Linked DNA regions of Macaca mulatta. The main gene of each other region encodes a partner of the protein of the gene in region 2 in a complex. Links are inferred from orthologs where the notes say so. Each region holds a gene or a part of one and is shown on either strand. Other genes may lie near its edges.

Region 1 (6,006 bases), on a different chromosome or scaffold from region 2:
CTGTAATCCCAGCACTTTGGGAGGCCGAGGCGGGTGGATCACGAGGTCAGGAGATCTCCGAGACCATCCTGGCTAACATGGTGAAACCCCGTCTCTACTAAAAATACAAAAAACTAGCCGGGCGAGGTGGCGGGCGCCTGTAGTCCCAGCTACTCGGAGGCTGAGGCAGGAGAATGGCGTGAACCCGGGAGGTGGAGCTTGCAGTGAGCCGAGATCGCACCACTGCACTCCAGCCTGGGCGACACAGCGAGACTCAGTCTCAAAAAAAAAAAAAAAAAAAAAACAAAAATTACGCGGATCATGAGGTCAGGAGATCGAGACCATCCTGGCTAACACGGTGAAAACTGAAAACCCGTCTCTACTAAAAATACAAAAAATTAGCCGGGCATGGTGGCGGGCGCCTGTAGTCCCAGCTACAGGCTGGGACTGAGGCAGAATGGCATGAACCCAGGAGGCGGAGCCTGCAGTGAGCCGAGATCGTGCCACTGTACTCTGGCCTTGGCAACAGAGTGAGACTCTGTCTCAAAATAAATAAATAAAATAAAAATACAAATATTAGCCAGGCGTGGTGGTGTGTGCCTCTAATCCCAGCTACATGGGAGGCTGAGGCAGGAGAGTCACTTGAACCCAGGAGGCGGAAGTTGCAGTGAGCTGAGACCACGCCACGGGCAACAAAAGCGAAACTCCATCTCAAAAAAAAAAAAAAGAAAGAAAGAAAAATTAGCCAGGCATGGTGGCGCATCCTGTAGTCCCAGCTACTCGGAAAGCTGAGGCAGGAGAATCACATGAACCTGGGAGGCGGATGTTGCAGTGAGCTGAGATCATTCCGCTGCACTCTAGCCTGGGTGACAGCTAGACTCTGTCTCAAAAAAAAAAAAAAAAAAAACATTCTGTGAGTAGACTTCATTCCTCCCAAAGCAAATCTGAAGCTATAACCCATGAAAAGAATTGCAACCCATTAAGCTACTAATTAAAACTGGTACCTAACAGCAAGTTCGAGTGTAAGTTTCGCAGGCATGTCAGCATGTTTTCTGTGTAATGTTTTAAAATTAATTTCAGCTAAAACATGAGGAATAATCATTTTGCTTTTTGAGCCTGATGTTAAAAATTTCCTTTTAATGTTAGGGAAATATTTTTTAAATTAGACAATTCATATCAATTCATAAACTGAAATAAGATGTTATTCTGAACTCTTAATTATGTAGCCTTTAACTATTTTATTTTAAATCCAAGACAGAGCTTCCCAGCACCATAATGAACGTCAGAAGGAAAGCCCAGTGCCTGCACTTAGCATGGTTCAGTCAAACCACAAAACAATCTTTATCAAAGATGTTCACTTTGGGTTCCAAATTACTTAAGACATGTCAGTATTGGGCATTATTGGAATTTAAATAAAAAACACTTTTCAAGTGACTTGGGAAGGAGGAAAGGAAAGATCGCTGCTGCTTAATACATTTTATTCAGGTCTGTCATTACACTTGCGTGAGTAATCACGGGTGAGGTTTTATTTGCAGGAAGAGAAGGTCTTCCAGAAGAAGTTCTTGCAGGGCGTTCTGTCCCGGCGTGCGGATTGCTGGGGGGGTGCGCCTTCCTGCCGCCTGGCCACCTCCCTGGCTTCCTCTCCTATGAGGGGCCCGGCACTGGCCTGGGAGGTCCACTCAAACCACCAAGCGAGGAAAGTCAGGAGGCTGCTTTTCCTTATTCCTGCCGCTTCCTGCATATGCTTTTAAAGAGAAGCAGATGGCAAAGGAAAGAAAACTCAGCAATCTGGCTCAGGCAGCAGGCATTCGAAGATATGCAATCTCCTCACAAAAAAAAAAAAAAAAAAAAAAAGATCTACTAGAAGACTACCCTGGAGAAAAGAGAAAGAAAATATTAAAAATAAATAAATAAAAAGAAAAAAATGAAAAGATACTCCACAGCAATAAGCCTCGTTTCCACTTAAAGGATGAGGATGAGAAAGTGAAGCGAACGAACGCCTTAAATAAATTGCTCTAATTAGAGAACAGGAAAAGTTGGTCATTTTAAGTCAAGGAAAAAAACCTGGTGGTTTTGCTCCACACTCTTTGCTAAGGTCCTTAATTAGGAGACGTCAGGAAATCTGCCATTTTCCCCCCAGTGACTGGCGGCTGAGAAGCCCCAAGGTGGATCAGGCTAATTTATTCATTCTCCCACCTTTGGCCACACTCCTGGATGTCCACAAGTTGCTTTCTGAGACGATGGGACTGAAACGTTGAATTCTGGTTTTTCAAATTCCTTAGAAAGCTTCTGGGAGTAATCTGCTGATAAATGGCCTGCCTGAAACTCATCTGATAATTTTAGAGAAAAATCCATTTTTAATGCTCAACTTTATATACTCTTTCTTGGAACTTTCTCAAAATGGAAAAAAGAACAATCAATCACCTCATGAAGTAACAAATTCTCACGACGGAAAATGTCATGATGCCAGTTACTCTGAGCCAGTGGGAGCCTGCGCTGGGTGTAACTGAAGGCTCTGGAAGGGCTGTCGCAGCTCCACGCCTGCCCTGCAGTGGACCGGTACACTCGCTTCCCCTTTCCCAGACACCCGATGGAGGGAGCCCTGGCATGAAGGGTCCTCCTTGAGCTGCACAGGTTTCCAGCAGGCTTCATGGGTTGGGACATGTAACTGAGGATCAGTGATCTGAATGTAACATCCCAGTACCTCAAGCCAGCCAAGATCACTACAAAGCTCAGCCCTGTGTCCTGTCCAAGCTGTGAACTGCAACATACGTGCACACACACACTCACCATGCAGGCCAAAAAGCCAACAAGAGACAGAGAGTGGGCTAGCGTATGGCCACGTCGGGACTGTACTCACCTCGCTGTCTGGGCCAGTGGGGCTGCCCTCCAGGGGCAGGGCGGCGGTGGCCGTGGCCCCAGAGAGCAGCAGGAGCAGGAGGCCGGGGGGCAACGGCATCTTGTGGGCTGACGGGAGCTTCTCTCACACCCTGCTGCTGCTCTTCCTTCCTGGCAGCCCTGAAATCAATGTTTTGGGAACGTGGGTCTCTTCTTTGGAGCTTGGTGGGTATTTTAAGCCCAATCTCCAGCTGTTTTTTGTGTCTGTACATGTCTAACGCCTGGATCCTCTTCCCTCACGCAGTGACGCAGAAGCTGGAGCAATCAGTGCCCACAAAAGCGCTTTAGGATTGGCTCTAACTCCTTAATTAAAGCTTCAGGTCTTTTCCTGTGTTTAGAGCGAATTTGCTCTTATTTTGGAACGCATGTGCGCTCGCTGCTGGAGAAGTTCTGCTTCCTCGTAATTATGCCTATAGTAGGCAGGAAGCCGTGAGAACAAAAACAAGTGATTTAACATAATATAAAATTAGCCTTGGATAAGGAGCTTGAATGTGAAATTGTGCCCATGTGAAAGTATGACTGAAACTCATCCAGTAATTTCAAAGACATTCTTCTACTACGGGCAGAGAAACAAGGAGGCAGTGGGAGCTCAGAGATGCTACGATAGTATCCGCTGGTTTCACCAAATTGTTGGCAAGGAGGCCCCAAGAATCGCTCCCAGTACTGCCTCTCAGCCCAGCAGGCCAGACCCACCGTCCTCTAGGCCAGGCCTTCTCAAACTGAAGTGCAGACGATCGCTTTGCAGGCAGGTCCTGATGCGCTGGGGCAGGGAGGAGTTGAGAGCTGCATTTCCAACAAGCACCCAGGTACTGCTGGCCCCAGGGCAGCCGCGCTCTGGCCCACTCGGCCTGGGGTGCAATGGCACACCCAGCTCACTGCATCCTCTGCCTCCTGGGTTCAAGCGATTCTCCTGCCTCAGCCTCCCAAGTAGCTGGGATTTCAGGCACCCACCACCATGCCTGGCTAATTTTTGTATTTTTAGTAGGGACAGGTTTTCACCATGTTGGCCAGGCTGGTCTCGAACTCCTGATCATCCAGTGTTTTCTTTTTTTTGAGATGGAGTCTCGCTCTTATTGCCCAGGCTGGAGTGCAATGGTGTGATCTCGGCTCACCGCAACCTCTGCCTCTCGGGTTCAAGTGATTCTCCTGCCTCAGCCTCCTGAGTAACTGGGATTACAGGCATGTGCCACCATGCCTAGCTAATTTTGTATTTTTAGTAGAGACAGAGTTTCACCACGTTAGCCAGGCTGGTCTCGATCTCCTGACCTCGTGATCCGCCCACCTCGGCCTCCCAAAGTGCTGGGATTACAGGCGTGAGCCACCGCGCCCGGCCCGGTCCAGTGTTTTCTAAACTGCTCCTGACCACCGCTTGTGGGTCACAGGCCAGTACTTTCCTTTAGAATGAAATTGAAATTAGTGTGCATCACCCGTAGTGAGGATAAATAATGATTCACATTGTGTGTGTCGGGTGTGAGACGTATTGTTACTGCAGGGCACAGTCACAGTTTGGGAAGCAATGCCCGGCCCTGCCCTCAGCCACCTCCCAGGGCTCTCTGTCCTCCCAAGGCTGGCGCCACTGCTGAGAGTGCAGACCGTGGAGTCCCTCCCTGTGCTACCTGCTGGCTCTCCCGCACAGGCCCTCATGGCTGAATCACACAGACAAATGCACAGACCCCTTCACCCAACTGGACACCGAGTAAAATCTGGAACATCCACCCAAACCTACTAGAGATGACCAACATCCAAAGCAAGGCTGTAAATTGAAGTAACACAACCCAAAACTGATGGCACTTTCTAGAAGTGAACATATTTGTTTTCAGTTTTCCAGAGTCCTGGTTTACACCTTCACGGGGGAAATCTCAATCTTGAATTTGTCACAGTCTTTTTGCTTATGTTAAAATCCTAGGTAAGATCAGCATGGCCTGCTGGCCAGAGACTTATATGTCGTATGTTGCTTCATCTGTTATTTCTGTACCAAAATTCCTATAAATGACACTAAAAATCGAGTTATACTTGCAGATGAGACATTCACAGCAGTTCAGCCAGCTTCTTTTTGTTTTTGAGACAGAGTCTCGCTCTGTCACCCAGGCTGGAGTGCAGTGGCACAACTTCAGCTCACTGCAACCTCCACCTCCCAGGTTCAAGGGATTCTCCTGTCTCAGCCTCCTGAGTAGCTGGGATTACAGGCACGAGCCACCACACCCAGCTAATTTTTGTATTTTTAGTATTTTTAATAGAGATTTCACCATGTTGGCCATGCTGGTCTCAAACTTCTGAACTCAAGTGATCCACCCATCTCAGCCTCCCAAAGTGCTGGGATTACAGGCATGAGGCCACCACACCCGACCTCACCAACTTCCTATATCGTTAGTCTAGTGTGCCAATTTTATTCCATGAGCTCATTAAACATTCTGAGCACCCAGCATGGAACTTGCAATACCACAAGGGACCCATGCCACCCACACCCCGACAGAGGTGTTGCAGCCTAAAAGAAATAGGATACATGGACACAAATGAAAGACAAGGACATTTTTCAGTGCGATAAGAAGTGTGCAAAGAAGGGGAATGTGCTGCAAATTGGGGAAGACGTCATGAGAACTGATGACTGTTTCAAGAAGGTGGCAAACTTTGGGAGGTGGAGATGAGAGGATCACTTAAGCCCAGGAGTTCAAGACCAGACTGGGCAACATAGCAAGACCCCATCTCCACCAAAAAACAAAATTTAGCAAGGCATGGCAATGCACACCTGTAGTCCTGACTACTTGGGAGGCTGAGGCGGGAGGATTGCTTGAGCCCAGGAGTTCAAGACCAGCCTGGGCAACATGGCAAAACCCCATCTCTACAGAAATTAGCTGGACGTGGAGACGCACACCCGTGGTCCCAGCTACTTGGGGGGCTGAGGTAGGAGGATCATCTGAGCATAGGAGGTCAAGGCTGCAGTGAGCCAAGATTGTACCACTGCACTACAGCATGGGTGATAGAATGAGACTTTATGACAAAAAAGAAAAAAGAAAAACTCAGCCCGGTGTGGTAACACACACCTGCAGTCTCAGGCACTTGGGAGGCTGAGGCAGGAGGATTGACTGAGCCCAGGAATTCACAGCTGCAGTGAGCTGTGATCTCGCCACT
Region 2 (6,078 bases):
ACACAGATGGTACAGCCCCATTACCAGGACCCCGCCTGCATGCAGGACACCAGCCCTTCAGCTGGGGCCAAACCCAGCATCCGGTACAGCTGTGGGCGCTGACTCAGGCAGTGGGGTGTGAAGGCAGGACCGTAGTGGGGGAGGAGGAAGGGGGCGAGCTTCCAAAATTAACAGCCACATGACGCGGAGACTATTAACATCCCACCGTACAGACAGTGGCGGCGTCCACAGAGGGGCCAGGCGAGCCCATCGCTGCTGTAGGGCTGGGACTCGGGAATGGACATGCAAAGGGCAGCCCTCATAGCCATATGGACAGCAAAGAGGGTGTCACAGTACAGGTGCCGTGGGACAGGTCACAGCTAGGGTGGGGTCCCTGGAGAGGGGTCTGAGGACTGTCCCTGCGGAGTCCATCCAGCCACCATCCGGTTGCCATGGCTCCCAGCAGCCACTAAGCCTCACGGTGCTGGGCTTGACCTCTGCGGCATCCCAGGCGGGCGTTGCCTCACTGGATCCTTCTGGGTGGGTAGGACCGAGGCGAGGGGACTCCTGCCCAGAACTCAGGGTGGCTGATGGTGGGACGGGCGCTGTAGGCCCGACAGGCCCCCTCTCTGGCCATCAGTCCCGCAGGAGGTCACTGGGGGAGGGGTCACAGCCAGGATCCAGACCCCGTGTGATGCCAAAGGCCGTGGGCGTTCCTGCACAGGAGCAGCTGCTGACTCGTCCAGAGACGGAGGAAGCCAGGAGCCAAACCCCTGTCGGCTCCAGTGGGGACGGCACCAGTCTCATGAGGCCAGAGGAGACCCAGTGCCAGGATCCAGACATGGGGTCCTATCGGAGGCTACACACGGGGGAGAGGGTCCAGCGGCAGCAGTCGGGGCAGGAGAACTACAATCAGTGCAAAAACCACAATCACAACCACTGCAAAACCACAAACATCTCAAAAACCACAACCACTGCAAAACCCACAATCACAACTACCGCAAAAACCACAACCACCACAAAACCACAACCACTGCAAAAACCACAACCACTGCAAGAAGCACGCCTATCCTACAGCGTTTTCACTTAGCACCCTCGCCCACAACCTCCACCCACAGCCTCCATCCTCCCCCAACAACCTCCACCCACAGCCTCCATCCTCCCTCAACAACCTCCACCCACAGCCTCCATTGAACCCAAAACAAAGGGTCTCAATCCTCAGCATTGCCCGGGTTCCACAGGACAGCCAGGGTTCAGATGTTCCTCATAGAGAGGACTTGGGTCTCCGGTTGGCTCCTCCCAGATTCCCTCGCTGGGAACCCCAACCACCTTCAGGTGTGTCTGCCGCAGAGGCACCCCCAGGTGCACCTCAGTTACTGCCGTCAGGAGCGTTCACCAGGTGTGGTGGTCTCTCCTTGCACTGCTGGAAAATACCCGCGACCAGGCGCGGTGGCTGACGCCTGTGATCCCAGCACTGTGGGAAGCCGGGGTAGGGAGGATCATGAAGTCAGGAGTTCAAGACCAGCCTGGCCAACATGGTAAAACCCCATCTCTACTAAAAATATAAAAATTAGCAGGTGTGGTGGCGGATGCCTGTAATCCCAGCTACTTGGGAGGCTGAGGCAGGAGAATCGCTTCAACCCGGGAGGCAGAGGGTGCACTGAGCAGAGATCGCGCCACTGCACTCCAGCCTGGGCGACAGAGCGAGACGCTGTCCACTCCCACCCCCCACGAAAAAAAAAATACCCGAGACTGGGTAATTTATAGAGAAAAGAGTTTAATTGGCTCAGGCTTTGCGGGCTGTACGGAAAACATAGCTGCTTCTGTCTCTGGAGAGGCTCCAGGAAGCTTCCAAATCTGCTGGAAGGCAGAAGCCGGAGCAGGCGTCTCACATGGCAAGAGCAGGAACCAGAGACAGAGCAGTGCCGGACACATTTAAACGGCCACTCACCACCTCGAGGAGAGCACCAGGAGGGATGGGGCCAAGCCATTCACGAGAAATCCCCCCCTGATACCCAGTCACTCCCCACCAGGCCCCAGCACCACACTGCAGACTCCATTTCCACACGAGGTTTGGGTAGGGATGCAGAGCCACACGGAGCGGGTGTGGGGGGTGCTCAGGGACCACACGCCCCACGGTGGACGCTGCATCCAGGGGCCAGGGTGTCTGGGAAGAGGCTGGGAGCCAGCGTGGCTGTGGCCCCTCCATCCAGGCATCACAGACCAGGGCTGGCAGGTTTTGGGGCGTGTCCACCTCCACCACCCTGATTCCCAGGTCCTGTTCCAGGGAAACATGCAGAGGAAATGGCTGGAGAGCGAAGTCCAGACACGGGGGCCATGAGAGCCGGACACCACGCAGCTGCAGACCCCGACCCTGACCCAAATTGCATGTGGCTGAGGACCCCCAAGCCAGACGCCACGCGGCCGCGGACCCCAACCCAGACAGACCCCGACCCACCCGTGCTGCCGCCAGCCCCAGAAGTCAAACCACAGCGTCCCCCCAGCACCGTCCGGGCTCCCGCAGGTACAGCAGCTTCCTGAGGCGGCCCCACCTGCAACTCCGGACCAATCAGAGAAGGCCAAGTGGGCCCCCCAAGCCCAGCCGTGGGACCCCCGATCTAGAGGGCCCTTCCCCGCCCCGGGCCAGCAGCCACGCTCGGGCTCCGCATCAAGTCCGCCAAATGCAGGGGCGAGGGCCGACCCCGCTACAGGAGCCAAGCGCAGGAAACAGCCGGTGCAGCGTGCGCTCGGGCGGCCCATCTCCATCCGGACCCGCCGCTGCGGCCGCAGGTTCACGCCATTCCGCGGACACGTCTCCGGCGCCTCCAGCCCCTCAGAAACCCGGGGTTTCTATGGCAAAGGTCCTGGTGGGAATCGCACCACCTGCCGTTCCTGCCTCCGCGGTGGATTCGCTGCGTTAAACTGCCCCCCGCTCTTCATCCCCCAACCCCCGGCAGCCTCCGACCCTCCCTCCCCCGGCGGCGCAGCGCAGCCTTTTGCAGGCGCCAAGCTGGAATCCGACCGCGCAGCCTTCGCACCGGGGCGCGCTTCAGGCCCCCCACGCCTCTCCCAGGCTTCATCACCCAGTTCTCTCTGGCGCCGGAGGAAACCCCCAGCTGCTTCTCCACTCACCACTGAAGCGCGTCTCGGCTGCCCCCAGCCCCGTGCCCTCCTGAGAACACTGCAGGCCGCAACCCCACGGCCCACCCCCGACCTGCACTCACCGTGCGGGGCCTGTGGAGCCTCCACCCTTTGGAGGAAGGACGTGTCAAAGCTTGGAGGTGCGCGGCCTGTCTCACCTCCGCCCCAGGCCGGGCATGGCGCGCCGCAGGGTCTCAGCTGGGATCAGCCTGGCCCCAAAGGATTTATCGTTGAAAGCGCTGGTCCCAGAACCCAAGGGGAAGACGTGCTGGTTTTCTGACGAGCTGGGCCACCTCCTCTAGGAAGCCCTCCTCCTTGCAGCTCTGTGGCCGTCGTAGGCTTGCAAGAGTCAAAGGGCCCGGCCCATAGCGGCTCTTGGCACTGGGCCGGACAGTGTCCTGCCCCCAAAATTCATGTCCACCCAGAACCTCCGAATGCAACTTTCCTTGGAAATAGGGGCTTTGCAGATGTAATTAAGGATCTTGGGGTGAGGTTACCCTGGATTGAGGCTGGGTCCCAAGTCTGTCACTGGTGTTCCTCCGTGAAGAGCAGAGCAGAGCAGAGCAGAGGCACAGAGCAGGCCCTGTGAAGACAGAGGCAGGGCCTGGAGCGTCGGCCGCAGCAGGGGTGTGGAGCCCCCAGAGCTTGAAGGGGAGGGAAGGATCCTCCCAGGGCCTCCAGAGGGAGAGTGCTGGGCGCTGCCCACACCTTGTTTCTGGACTTGTGGCGTCCGGAACTGGGAGAGAATAAATTTCTGGTGGTGTAAGCCTGCGTTACGGCAGCCCCAGGACGCTAAAATAGTTCAGCCCGTGCAGGCTCCTCCCTCCCTTTCTCTCTGTTGTTGTATTTTTTAGACAGGATCTCTCTCACCTGTCGCTGGAATGCCGTGGCAGGATCATGGCTTGCTGCAGCCTCTAACGCCTGGGCTCACGCGATCCTCCCACCTCAGCCCCCCGAGTAGCTGGGACTACAGGTGCCATCAGACCTGGCTAATTTTAAAAAATATTTTTAGAGATGGAGGTCTCCCTGTGTGGCCCAGGCTGGCCTTGAACTCTTGGGCTCAAGTGATCCTCTCGCCTTGGCCTCCCAAAGTGTCAGGATGGCAGGCTTGAGCCATCGCGCCTGGCAGTTCCATCTCTGATGACTCCTGAAGCCCTTCATCTTGGCTAATCCAGACAGGCTTGCTGGGGGCCCCTCTCCCCTTGGAGACTTTGGGATGCGGCTGGACGTCCACGTGGCCGGGGTCCTCCACAGCCCCCAGCTTCCCAGGGCAGGAGGCAGGCTATGTCCTCGGTGAGCGTCGAGAGCGAGGCTGAGATGTTTGCCCTTCACGTTTCCACATTTAGGGGCGTTTTGTTGTTGACTCATTCAAAGCTCTTTTAAGTTGCTTAATTTGCTGCTCAGAGGGAAATGAAAAAGGAGCCATTTTCCCTGATTTGTTCGCCTCAGTCAACTTTTAAATCAATAAAAAAGTGCATTTTGCTCATCGGATGCAAATAGGTACATCTTTCCTAATACATTGAGATTGAGTGATTCATCAGCCATTTCATTTCATTTGGAAGCTGAAAGCCTAAGGGCATTTGGAGAGAATTCCTCTCACTCAGAAGAGTCGGTAATAAGTCAGCATGAATGCGCAGGTGGGGCGTGGCTCTGCCTTGGCGGAGAAACACGGCGCTGGGTGACGTACGGAAACCGGGACCTGAGGCAAGTGAAGGCTGTGGCCCTGACGGCGGCTCAGCTGTGACCAGTGCCCACCAGGGTCTGTCCTCCCCCAGAGGCCACACCCCCACAGACGCAAACCCGGGGCCCCTGCCAGGCTGGACCCCAGATGCCTCACCAGGGATCCAGGTGGGGGACTTGAATGAGGTGCAAACTCCTCGTCAAAGGACTAGCACCTCCCCATCCGGGCAGCCGCTGCCTCCCCTCGCAGTTCTAGCCGCCGCCGCCTGGTGTGGGGGGGTCACGTTTGGCGCTGTGAGCTTTGGGGGTCCGAAGTCTGCCAGCCCCAAGGACAGCACGATGCCCCCCAGGCGTCCAGGCCAGCAACAGGCAACCCCTGCCCGCCCCGTCCACCTCCCTGGGCTCCTTTCCCCTCAGACGCGGCCAGTGTGTGTGCTTCGGGGGGTGGGGTCTCTGCTCCTGGCCACCCCATTGCACCCCCTTCCCCTACTGACCCCCTCACACGCTCAGCACTTCCCTTCTCTGGCATCAGGCGGGGAGGAACCAGCTAGGCCCCAGGGTCAGCCCTGCCCCCAGCACCTCCCACGGCCACAGCGGTGCTGCAGGATCCAATGCACTGGAGCCCAGGGCCGCTCATGCAATCAAGCGCCAATTTCCCGGGACCCACACGGCAGAGGCTGGCGAGGGCAGGGAAGCCACGCGCAGGCCCTCGAAGCAGATGCTGCCTGCCCCTGACCGTGCCTGAGGCCACTTCCTACAACCCCTGTGACTCTGGCCGTCTCTGACCACAGGAGGCCTGGCCTGGGCGTGGGAACAGCCGGGAGTCTGGGGAGTCAATGCCCCGGGGCACAGCCACCACAGCCCAGCCACTTCCCTATGGTAGGGACAGCTCCAGAGTGCTGCGGCCTGGGGCTCCGGGGGACGGAGTGCATCTGCCCACAGCGGTGACCTGCTTACTACTGCCCACTGGCACCCACCCTTTCACTTCATAGCACCCCCTCGATGACGGGTGTTTCCTGGGGCCACCCCCAAACTCTCTGCCTGAAGATCCTTGCCTCTGAGCCTTCCAGGGGCACCCAACAGAGACCCGGTCACCTCGCTGCCCCACGAGGACTGTCACACCACTGGGTGCTGACCTCCACACTCAGGCCACAGAGGCCACAGACACGTCCCCTTGGTCCCACGGCCAGGCCCTGGGAGGGACGTGGTGGACGCCAACACGATTGCTGCGGCCGTTCCTAGCCTGGGATCAGCTCTGGGCCCGGCCGGCCCCAAGTC

What was found.
Region 1: the proteins of SSTR5 (region 2) and CORT are in contact, whole or in part, in a cryo-EM structure (PDB 8X8L), measured with the Homo sapiens proteins. The link is inferred for Macaca mulatta from reciprocal best matches to the Homo sapiens genes SSTR5 and CORT. Residues at the interface, in NP_001044.1 of Homo sapiens: Tyr89, Leu96, Gln99, Asn100, Ser103, Asp119, Gln123, Glu182, Thr185, Cys186, Asn187, Ala188, Trp190, Gly198, Phe201, Ile202, Thr205, Phe264, Phe265, Asn268, Asn271, Glu279, Ala283, Tyr286, Phe287, Val290, Tyr294; in NP_001293.3 of Homo sapiens: Cys93, Arg94, Phe96, Phe97, Trp98, Lys99, Thr100, Phe101, Ser102, Ser103.

The regions. Positions count from the first base shown.
Region 1 is NC_133406.1:230,285,813-230,291,818, forward strand, and holds CORT (cortistatin), read right to left. Parts: upstream 3,027-6,006; 5' UTR 2,939-3,026; coding exon 2,840-2,938; intron 1,724-2,839; coding exon 1,505-1,723; 3' UTR 1,441-1,504; downstream 1-1,440. UniProt on the Homo sapiens protein: Binds to all human somatostatin receptor (SSTR) subtypes. It also inhibits cAMP production induced by forskolin through SSTRs.
Region 2 is NC_133425.1:2,257,179-2,263,256, reverse strand, and holds the start of SSTR5 (somatostatin receptor type 5), read right to left. Parts: upstream 3,907-6,078; 5' UTR 3,204-3,906; exon of another isoform or gene 2,364-3,203; intron 1-2,363.